Linked DNA regions of Danio rerio. The protein of the gene in region 2 purifies or fractionates together with the protein of the main gene of each other region. This does not show direct contact. Links are inferred from orthologs where the notes say so. Each region holds a gene or a part of one and is shown on either strand. Other genes may lie near its edges.

Evidence for each region. Proteins that work in one complex are often made in the same cells at the same time.
Region 1: the proteins of arhgef6 (region 2) and git1 purify together in Homo sapiens (affinity purification with mass spectrometry; 3 studies listed by BioGRID and IntAct, counting the BioPlex papers as one, with this or other methods). This does not show direct contact. The link is inferred for Danio rerio from reciprocal best matches to the Homo sapiens genes ARHGEF6 and GIT1.

The regions. Positions count from the first base shown.
Region 1 is NC_133190.1:30,983,837-30,990,143, forward strand, and holds the start of git1 (ARF GTPase-activating protein GIT1), read right to left. Parts: upstream 3,667-6,307; 5' UTR 3,215-3,666; coding exon 3,163-3,214; intron 1-3,162. UniProt on the Homo sapiens protein: GTPase-activating protein for ADP ribosylation factor family members, including ARF1.
Region 2 is NC_133189.1:36,337,024-36,342,832, forward strand, and holds part of arhgef6 (rho guanine nucleotide exchange factor 6), read right to left. Parts: intron 5,709-5,809; coding exon 5,622-5,708; intron 5,506-5,621; coding exon 5,424-5,505; intron 2,770-5,423; coding exon 2,396-2,769; intron 1,965-2,395; coding exon of another isoform or gene 1,944-1,964; intron 1-1,943. UniProt on the Homo sapiens protein: Acts as a RAC1 guanine nucleotide exchange factor (GEF).

The DNA.
Region 1 (6,307 bases), on a different chromosome or scaffold from region 2:
TAAATTAGCCTCAGAATTTATTTTATTCGGCTCCATCACTTGGATTTCTGTTTTCCACAATTATCAGCTTAGCTTTACATGTTCTACATTTTAACTTAACTCGCTGTCGGAAACCGGTGAAAAATGACTTCTTAAAAAAGTCTATTCACTTCTAAAGGCATTTATTTTATTCATGTGAACTAAACTCCCACATTCATCAAAAATTAAAATGGATTTTTGAAGATGACAGTTTTTTTTTACTGAAGGAAAGGCTTATTTAAATCCAGCAAATGTTCATTTTACAGCCAAAAAAATTCTAGCATGCAGAGAAGAACCTAATATTTTTGGGCTTAATTAAAAATAAATCAGTGCCATAAACTTGTTTATTGGTCTAAATATGAACATTAACAGAAACGAAGCCAAGCACCTGTGTGTGGGAAAAATCAAAGATGATGCCAACTTACACCCTCATCCTTTCTAAAAGTGCTTCATAACATTAACAGAAGCATCTTCAAACCCGAGTTTCTCTTCGCATCTAATGAAATTACACACCACTCGCTAACACACACACACAGACTCTTCACACAGGGCGTCATTCAGCCCTCAGTGACCATGCAATTGACAATCTTCCCCACATTCATTCATTCCAATAACACATTTACCAGAATACATCCGTCTGTCTGCCCACCATCCCTCCACCTCCTCCTCCTCTTCCTTTCTCAGTCATCAGTTACTTGCCTTCAACACACTTACCATTATCTACATTCCAACAACATGTTAAACACGAAAATGACAAGCTCTAGTGCACTGCAGTAGTAGAGGTCAATCGATGTTGGATTTTGTTAAAACCGATAGCTAGATAGACCATACTTACTGATAAATTATTAATTAAACGATAAACCTTCAAATTAATACTGAATAACAAACTATAAATCAACAGAACACCATGTAAAATAGTATTGAACTTAATTACACACACACTAACAGATAAATTCAGATGAAGACATGCATTGAGATGACATACTTCAAAACGTAAAAATCGATTGTGCTTTAATTATTGTTATTATCAATGACATTTGTAAACATTAACAGCTTAAACTAATCTCAAATCAATTTGCTGCTAGGTTTAACATAGTGTAATAAAAAAAAAACATGCATGCACATGTTGTCAGTGATTTTTGTTTCTAGAAACCGCTCTTGCCATAAATATGTTGGCTCTTGCACTGTATGACTACTATCGGTGGGGATTTTTGTTGATAACTGAACCCACAGGCATCGGTGACAGCTTTTGGTCGAGCTCACAGCAAGACTGCAGGTAGCCAAAGAGGTGAAACAGAACTAAACTGTCAAAAACAAGACACACTTGTACATTTGTGGAGAGCAGAGAGCAGCTGTGGATGAGAGAGCAGCTGTCATGCCCCCCGTACCACCCCTCGGTCCCCCCATGGGGACGGTGAGACTAAATGAGCAAGGCCAAGGGTGGGCTTGAAGTGACGGCACAGCTGAGCAGCATTTAAAACATGTTTTGTAAACAACTGAAGGCGGTCTTGTGTCTTTATTTGGTTGGTTTAAGCTTGTTGGTAATTTATTGAGCAATGCATTTGAGGACAAATGGCTGAGAACGACATAGTTCCTATTTATTTAAAATAAAAATGCTATAGGGAAAAAGAGGGAAGTTGACCCTGGTTTCAGGAAATTGTGTCTTAAGGCATGCATGATGGAACTAGAAATGGCTATAAATAATTTAAACCTATGCTCTATTTAGGACAAACCCATTTAGTAACTTTGAAAAGAAAAAAATCTAAAAACATCTTAAATTTGTATATTACCGCTGATAGATTTCACCCACTGCTCATAATTATTACAGAAATATGGAAATATGTAGCGATACGTTTTAAATGGCAGTTGTGCTAAAAACAGTTTAAGCTGGTTTAAAGCTTTTAGGTGGTGTCCAAGTGGTCAAACTGGTCTGTTGGCTAGTTTTAGGTGGGTTTTTAGGGACTTTTTAAGCTGGTCATGCTGAGAGACCAGCTTGGAGACCAGCTACACAACAGCTTGGCCATACTGGGAGACCAACTAAGACCAGTAAAATAAAGACCAGATTTAAGCATTTTTTCCAGCATTTAAATGCAATACTATCAGTTAACTCAACATACTATCAAATTATTCATAGTTTTTCTATAATAAAAGTCTATTACACATGTTTTAGTGCATTGACTACAATTTGTCAAACCAAAGTTAAACTACGGTTAATGTAGCATATCGTTAATTTAAGGTTAACGTTACCATGCGGTAACTACAAAAACAGTTTGTCTAATAATATTTTAAACCACTATTAATTTTATTATAAAGAATAACAAACACAACCGTTATCTAGAAGCAATTCAGTGGACAAGAGCAAACAGAAGCGAACACTGACCCACGTCAGAGTTAACGTTAGATGTGTCCTGTCAACCTGCTAGCGCTAGTTAGCTATCTATCTATTCTCAACCCATGTTCATACTAACTAAATTCGCAAAAAATGTACCGAATATGTTTAAGTAGGACCTCTTGCAGTCATAAAAACTGATTCTAAATACACAAACGTGTTTTACTTAAAACTGGGAAGAGACTCAAATGAGAGTCCGCAGGCTACTTAGCAACCAAGCCTAGCCTACTGACAGTTAGCATTGTTCGATATATAGAGCTTTCAGTGCGGAGTATTTACTAAAACACAATTTAAATATATAGTAAGCTGTCGCTACAATATCTGCATATAAACAAATCTAAGTGTGGAGTAAATATGGTCATTTTAATTGACAGCACCTCGCAGGCTTGTCAACTTAACTTGGGATGGGTGCTAACAACGAGAAGGGGTAAAACTTTAGCCACGGCAGCAAAGCAGGAATAAGCAGTCCAAATTTAAAGTCATGCAAGTTTTGTGAATACACTAAAAGATTGTACTTCTTGAACAACCACTGTTCAACCGCATTACAAAGATACATATAAGTTAAGAGTGCGTTTAAAATCTGATTTGTTGGGCCGCAGAATCGGCCTTAATTTTAGGCATTTTTCCTGGCGCGCTTAACCCAGTATCCCTTCGCATACGCGGGCTTGGTACTCCTCCGCAATCCGCCGCGGTCAGGCGAGTCCCGGACAGCCATGGCTCACAACAACGCATTGATCCATAAATCTCAGCCTTACCTGGTGCACTGCAGTCGGCGCACACCTCGCTTCTCTGGACTTTCCTGGACATCGCTGAATCAAAAGCTGCTGCTTCCAGAAATTTTAGTCCAGTGCTGAAGATATCTGGTTTTCCTTCCCTCCAGGAGCGACGTCTGCGATTTTAATGCCGCCCCGAAATGTCCGGAAGCCGGCGACGAGCTCTCCAGTGCTCCCGGTCCTCACCCTTCTCTCTCTCTTTCTCTCCTTCCTTTTTCCTGCGGTGTCTTCTGTCGTGCCGCTACGAGGACTTTGCGATTCCCAAAGATGAATGAGATTTTCAGAAGGCCCCTTACGTTATCAGATTTCGGACGTAATCAGTTTAATTTTGAGTGGCCCCCATAATCTTTTTACCCCGATCATTATCCAAGCCCGTCTCTTAGGCAAAAGGGGGTGGGAATAAGTAAAGTATGGATACTGTACACGGTTTATTTACATCCACTGCCCCATACACTTCTGTATGGCGGGCTGCATATCCCTCTCTCTGACGTCTGCCTCTCGCTTTCTCTCTTTTGCCCCACTGTCGTCAGTGCACAGGCGGGGGCCGACCCAGCAGAGGGACCCTGCAGTCGTGCCCACCAGTATGGAGATGAATTTTACATAACTTTAATTACATGCCTACTATCTCCTAATAGGCTTTAAAAAAATTTAACTCAGTAAAAAGAAAAAAAGTTTGTTTCTTCTGAATTTTTACTTTAAAATAACGTGTTTCTAGAAGGAATATCATCTCATTAATATATTTTATTTATACTAGTCCTCCACATTCGATTCTATTTATTCCTTCATTCATTTTATTTTCAGATCCCTTTATTAATCTGGGGTCGCCACATTGGAATGAACCACCAACTTATCCAGCATATGTTTTACGCAGTGGATGCCCTTCCAGCTGCAACCCATCACTGGGAATCACCCATACACTCTCACATTCACTCACTGACAATTTTGCTTACCCAATTCACCTATAGCGCATGTCTTGACTGTGGGGGAAACCAGAGCACCCAGAAGAAACCCACGTAAACACGGGGAATGCCAAATGACCCATGCAGCCGAGGCTCGAACCAGCGACCTTTTTGCTGCAAGGCAACAGCGCTACCCACTGCAGCACAATGTGTTGTTTTCTTGGCCCAATTTACATTAGCTCATTCCAATACAAATCTTCAAACTATAAGATAGAAAAAGAAAAGTGCATATACTTTTGGGGTTTGGTTATTATATTATATGTATAGAAGTCCAAAGACACGTATAGATAAATTGAATAAACTAAATTGTCTGTAGTGTATGTGTGTGAATAAGAGTGTATGGGTGTTACTGGGAAACTCACACTCATTCACACACAAACACTACGGCCAATTTAGTTTATTGAATTCACCTATAGCGCATGCCTTTGGTCCAAGGAGGAAACCAGAGCACCCGGAGGAAACCTATGCGAACATGGGGAGAACATGCAATCTCCACACAGAAACACCAACTTACCCAGCCAGCTGGGGCTCAAACCTTGCTTCTTGCTGTGTTGTGACAGTGTTTAACACCAAGCCACTGTGCCACCATGTTTGAGGTTATTGGCATACATTATTTTAAACCCCTCTAATGAAGAAAGGAACAGTATAGTAGCACAAAAGACTAACAGGTTTTAATACTAAGAATTTAATAAAACTCCTCCAGACAAATGCACATAAGTTAAATTATTCATAAACTTCATTCATTCATGCATTTTCTTTTCGGCTTAGTCCCTTTATTAATCATGGGTTACCATAGCAGAATGAACTGTCAAGTTATCCAAAATATTTTTTTACGCAGCGAATGCCCTTCAAGCTGCAACCCAACACTGGGAAACACCCATACACACTCATTCACGCACATACACACATTTTTAACTTACCCAATTCACTTATTGCGCATGTCTTTGGACTTGTGGGTGGAACAGGAGCACCCGGAGGAAACCCATGCTAACACGGGGAGAAAATGCAAACTCCACACAGAAATGGCAACTGACTCAGCTGAGACTTGAACCTGCTACCTTCTAGCTGTGAGGCAACAGCATTACCCACTCCCTCTCATAAACTTTTCCTATTAATTTATTTCAGTTGTTTTTTTTGTCTGTTTTTTTTTAGCTGATCTGACCTTATTACATTGACACAATGTAGTTCAGCCAAAAATGTAAATTTACCCACCCTGCTTTTATATCCTTTTCTGTTGAACACAAAAGAGGATTTGTAAAATAATGGTAGAAACCTGGAAACTTTAGAAAAAAATATGGAACTCAGTTGTTACAGGTTTTTTATTCATTCATTCATTTTTCTTTGGCTTAGTCCCTGATTTATTGGGGGGTCGCCACAGGGAAATGAACTGCCAACTATTCTGGCATATGTTTTCCAGCTGCAACCCAGTACTGGGAAACAAAGACAGTGCTAATCAGCCATACAGATTTTCAACATTTTTTTAAAATAACATTTTAAAGGTGTATAAAAAAAGAAACTGGAAGGGCATCCGTTGCGTAAAACATGCTGGACAAGTCGGCGGTTCATTGTGCTGTGGCGACCCCTGATTGATAAAGGGACTAAGCCGAAAAGAAAATGAATTAATAAATGATGACAGGATTTTCAAGATTGGATGATGAAATATCCCTTAAAGTCCATAATATTGATCAAATCAGCACAAACAACATCCCTTTCTGTTCTATTAGGCTGTTATCTGTAAAACAGAATTACAGAATTGACTTAGTAGGCTACTAAGACACAGATGGCAGCACAAAATGATTACTCTATATATTCTCTCCCATGGCGCAGTAAGCAGCATCAGCATCAGCATCAGCATGTATGACAGAATCGCGCGCTGAAGTTCAGTGGCTCATCATAGGTGTGAGGAGTCAGGGAGTCTCTTTGGTCTGGGAAACGCGAGCCCTGCCTCAGCCTCCGCGAGCGAGCGTGCGGGCGCGCGCCTTTCAGTGTGTGACAGGGAGAACAGACGAGGAGGAGTGGAGAACAGACCGGAGAGCGTTAGCTTTAAATTACCTTTCAACACAGACGCACTGAATGTCAAGCTACTATGCAAAGAGGGATGCTGTTGAAGAAAAGGGAGAGAAATGCCCTTATCGGTCGTCTCGGCAATAACAATATAGCACGCGCCC
Region 2 (5,809 bases):
AGCAAAAATAAATAAATAAACAAATAAAAGAATTAATATACTAATAAAAACAGCTACATTTAATATTTGTAACTAAATTCTGAAATAATAATTTAAAAAAACTTCAACGCTAATTTACTTAGTGTTTTTTTATCAAAGTGTTTTTTGAGTCATACAACTGTTCAGAACATCCATACTAAATCTGCTTAAATCAACTAAAAGGGAAGTAAAAGTGAAGTACGTCACATGACTTGCATTTTTACACACACGTAGTTGATTCTATGTTAATCCATTAAATCAGAAACAGGTGCTTCTCTTTGTATGTTTGTCCAGTGAGTACAGTTTAGTAAGGGGTGATGCCGAAGATGTTTTTTTCTATATTCATATTTCTCTTTACTTATTTAGAGGAGTCGGAGGGTTTAGTTTAATTTGTTATTTTCTTTCATTTGACACCGCTTGTTTAGCTTCTCTGAATCAGGTTTGTTTCAGTTGATTTGTTTGATTGTTTTTCATTTATTGTACACAGTTGTAAATATGCTTTGGGTGATTAAAATTTTTTTTTTCCTTCACCTTTACTGTAAATAAAGCAAACCACTTTTTGTTAAGTCCATTGTCTGTGTTGATCCATAGCAGCTAACGTCTCAGGGGAATTTTTAAAATATTGAGTTGTCTTAATTGTTTGTTTAGCCCTTTTCATCCTCCGGGCGACATGGGGCGTAACAAACAGCAACCCATCTGATTCAATGCTTGCATTTATTTCAAATAGATTACTGGTTGATTTAGGGACTGCAACAAATGAAACTCCATTAACTAGACACTGATTTGAAGCTTTTGGGATATTGCAGCCTGCAAGGAGCCAATTTAAGATTCACCATTAAAAAAATAAAAATTCCTTTTCTTTTTTTATTGGTAAAAGTTAATGTAGAATATTTAATGTTTTTTATATTGCCCATCTTCCAGTGCTTTTGCTGCATGGTACAGTATTTTGTCTTGTGGTACATCTGTCTTTAGAATCTGTGGCCTTGATTTTGTGTTCATAGCTGAATACTGAGTAAACATTATTTTACCCAAGCATTGACATAATTTACAGAAAGGTCTTCTGAAACATTTAAAGAGCAATGTATTTAATTTGCTTTTTACGCATATGAAGTTATTTGATTTGATGCAGAGAACAAAAATGTTATCTCCAATCCACACCAACACGACTTTTAAGACTGTGCTTTAGTAATAATAAAGTACATCTTCAAAAAGTCTTTTAGTATCTGATCAATCACCTTGTTGGCTCTTCTCACCAATCAGAGCAACTGAAACATAGAGTAGCAACAAACGGAAAGCATGTTTCTGAGAGCCTCTTACCACGCTTGTCAAGCGAAAGCAGCATGAAATGAGTAAAAAGCTGCTTCAGAATAACTGTTCTTGATTTTTGAAAGAGCTGGACAGTGTATATTAATTGAACACTTCAGGCCTCAGCAGCTTTTGATTTCTAGTGTCTCATCATTTATTAAATTAGAAATAAAACAAAAGTTGTACATTGACTTCTAAAGGTAATTTCATGCAATTAATTTAATCAAATTCATATTTTTCCTATAATGTATGCACATGCGTGACTTATTCAGAAGTTCTACCAAGAGTTTATTTCATGCAGGAAAAGGGTTGGTGGGTTTTGCAGACATATCGATGTATGAAGTTTGAGAAGCAGGATGTTTCAGTAGATGATGTTGCATGGGAACTCCCTTCCTCCTAATGAATAGATAGCAACATAGCAAAGTTCTCAAACGCAACTTAAGCAAAGATCATCGAAGACAGAGGAGGATGAGATTACAAGTCAAACAAAAAGACACAGGAAATGCCTTATCACAGAATGAAACAGAAAAGCTTGGATTAAACGTGTAACACCAGTGCTAGCCAAGCACACGGACACACACACACGCACACACACAAAAACTCACATAATCTACGCTTACCTTCAGGATATAAGACATCCTCTAAAGAAGCAGAAAATGGAGAGAGAATGAAGATGTGTATGAGAATAAAAGAAGAGCCTGACAGAAATATGATGGACAGATCAGTGAAAGGTGAACATTAATTCAGATCATTTCGAAAAACTGAAGATTTTACATGCGTTTCTTAAGTAGAAGAGCACCATTAACACCCGTTCTAATACAATCAGAGTTGTATGAGTGGGATTTGGGTAGAAGTAGTTGATATGCAACTCAAAAACCATCAAACATTCCACTTTTCTGTGAGATAACACCTCCACCGCAATGTGTGGTGAAAAACAAGAAGGCGGCTACCAGCTTTAACACTCACAATCAGTTCACTGTGGTTCGGTTTCCTGTTAGGACCACCAAGAACGCACAGAGGTAAATTACGCTCCCACTCAACATGTCATATGACTGTTTTCCAGAAAGCGTACCTCTTTATAGCCGAGAGCGGCGGAGGGCTTCAGGGGCGGCGCGGGTCTCAGGCAGCTTAAAGACCAGGGCTTGGTGATTTTAGGTGGTTCGAGAGGTCCTCGGTTAACCGCAGTCGTACCGAAACCGTGCAAGTGGTGGGAAGACGTGCCAGGCATGGTTAAAGGTTTAACATCAACACTCTGTAAAATACACAAGAACATGACGTTTGACTTACTGTTCAACTGGATAGAGGTGAAAGCTGCAAAAAACGCTATTACCTTCAGCACTGTTTCAAATGGACTTCCTACCTTTATGTAAGGATGAAGATGTTCTAACCAATCCTGTTGCTCCTGTAAGCTACTGCAGAACACCATGGTCCGATCTATTGAGCCACCTAAAAAAAAAAATAGTCAGCAAATAAGGAAGAGACAAGACTGAAGTACTTTAAACTGTTTAAGCAAGATTTGTTAGAAAATTTTCAGTCCTAAAAAAGCAACTGAAAAGTGATGGGTTTTTGAAAATGCTTTTCCATGCAGTGTGTAACAGCCAGTGGCGTAGCGGACGGGCCCGCGAAAATCCGGCAACCGCAATAATCAAACTCTTGAAAACAACTGTGGTCGGAACCAAAGTTCACAGGTCTGTATTCTCTGAACTCCTCTCAAGCGGTGGACTACTTCATTCTAATTGTTTGGCGCCGAACCGCGTCAAGCTCGGTCATAGCTCATACCATAAAGTTGACTTGATTTCTCCTCAGTTTGTGAAGGCTTCCCTGCGTTGTCGCTCCACCCCGCCCCCTTTCCCGCTCCTTAGTTTGTGATTGCTTCTCAGTTTGTGATCGCTCCTCAGTTTGTGAAGGCTTCCCCGCGTTGTCGCTCCACCCCCACCTCCCCAACTGGGGGCCCCGTCAGTGATCCCTGCAGGGGGGCCTCCACATTACTAAGTGAATGAAAACATCCAGCTGAGGTTTAAATCTGAAAGTGCACAGTATGAAATATTGATTCTTTAAGGAAATAGTCAACTATTAGTCAACTAATAGTCGAATAAATGAATTGTGTTGGGTCCCAATCTTTTGCTTGAACGTGTCGACGTCGACATGGTATGACCAAATATGAAATGCGGATCCTGTAAAATGCACTTTTTCCTTCAGACACTAGCAGAGAGTGGGGGATCACGAGACTGATCATGACATGAAGATGTTGATCACATATGGAGATTCTGCTGCAGGGAATAAAGGGTTAAAGCTTATTTTTACAACAATACCACAGTATAGCCAACCGTGTGCCGTGTTTGTTCCTTTCATTTTTCAGATTTTTGATACAATAACCTACGCTGCAATGTGTACTGACACATAAATTAACCCTGAAGCACTTTTTGCTTGATTCTGGATTTATGAACATTTTGGAACTTACTCATATTCAGTAATATTGTTTGCAAAAAAATATTCTTTATTATGTCACATAAAACACAAAAAAGTCAGTATTTTCACGCTGCACTTATATGGACAAGTCAGGCTCTAAACCATCAAAAATGAAAAACCCTTATAATGTCATATGCAACATTGCACCTTTTTTGCTTATAGATAAAATATGTAAACAAGTGCGTGAGTATTTCTCAGCATTTACACTTACTTTTATAGTATTGAAGTTCATATTGTTGGAAGTTCCTGATAATATTTCTGAGACACTATGAATAGCAGCTATGCTAATTATTTTGTTTATTCTCTTTTCCACCTGGGGATACTTATCCTGAGGCTTTTAAAGATTATGCAGTGCCATTGATGTGATCCATGACCTGTGAAGAAATAATGCCAAGGTATCCATAATCCTGGACCAGGCCGTATCCTGAGCTAATGCTGTGGCGGTCACGGAGGAGTGGAGAGCATGAGACTGATTTCTGAAAGACCCAGTGACAGACCAGTCTTCACCTTGATCCCGTGGGTCAGCTGTATACTCGCCGATGACCTCCAGCCTCCAGCACCTTGACTGCAGCTCTGCACAAGTAGTTTGGCAAGAGGGGAAATGGTCTTACCCCACTGAGCCTGTTCCTTTTAAGGTTTTTTCCTTCACCTTCGTCAATTGGTCAAGTTTGTTCCTCGCCACTGGCTTTCTTGGTTTGGGACTTGTGGAGCTGCACATTGATGGATTTGCTCTTCAGTGTTTGGACTTGATGAAAATTAAACCACACTGAACTGAACTAAACTGAACTTCAACTCTGAAAACTGGACTAACACAGTTTCAATATACTAGAACTTCTATGTTAAGCTGCTTTGACACAATCAACACTGCAAATGCACTATATAAATATACATGAATTGAATTGAGTTTGTTGAATATTGTATTGTAATTGTATTTGTGAAATCAAAGTAGTTTCATTGAGTACAATGATTTTTCAGTACTCACATAACACCTTCACTAGACTCAGAATCGAAGCTTAATTTGTACCGGAACACGCTGGATCTGGCACCTCATTTTACTGATCCCCATCCTCAAACGCCCTGCTCCCCCATCCGCTGTTTACTTTCACTTTCTTCCGCGACTCCGCAAGCCTCTTTTGTCCGCGACAACCCCCCCTGCTCTTCACTTTTGTCCATGACACCCCTCCGGTATACACCCCACCCCACGGATCCTAGGGTATCATGCCAGATCAGTTACCCCGATCTGTTCCGGGACCTCTCAATTCACAAATTAAGCACTGCTCGGAATGTATGATCATACTGGGTATTAGATATCATGGGCTTTTAAATCATTTTTAAAAATTCCTGTCTGGAAATTGGCAGATGTATTTTTTATGAACTGTAATGAAACACCTGCAAGAAAATTCTGTTTGTGTTGAACAGGTTTGGACAGAAACAAAGGTTAGAAAAAAACAATACCATTTTCAACTTTAGGTGAAATACTCCTTCAATAAACCGCATGCTGTCTATTTGTCATTTTAAATTCTGCTGCTAGTTTGTAGAGCAGCAGGCAGCACTAACTATAAAAAGCAACATTAATGACAGTTGAATTCTGTGACACCCCACTAAAAGTGTTTACATGGACTGAAACAAACCTGTGATCTCAAAGGCATAATGGCCGGTCTCTGCATCCTCTGGCTGTTTGGTTACAGAGGTTCCTGTCAGCGGCAAACGTCCCTGAGATGAGAAGAAAAACATGAATAAAAGCTCTGCGCTTCAGCCTTCTTCACAAATAACAGATGCTGATTGATTTAAAAACAAAAGAGAGGGAGAGAGAGGAAAAAATAACTCACCTGATAAATGAAACCACTCATTCTTGGGCTGGCAGACAGCATGATTATCACATTAGGAAACAGCATGAAGTATCTCTCTTCTTTTTCCTTGGGAAAAAAAAAGAAAGAAATGTATGTAATTTTACAATTCAATACTTCTGCACAAATGAGGTAAATTGCCACTACATTACACACTGTTCATGGTACGG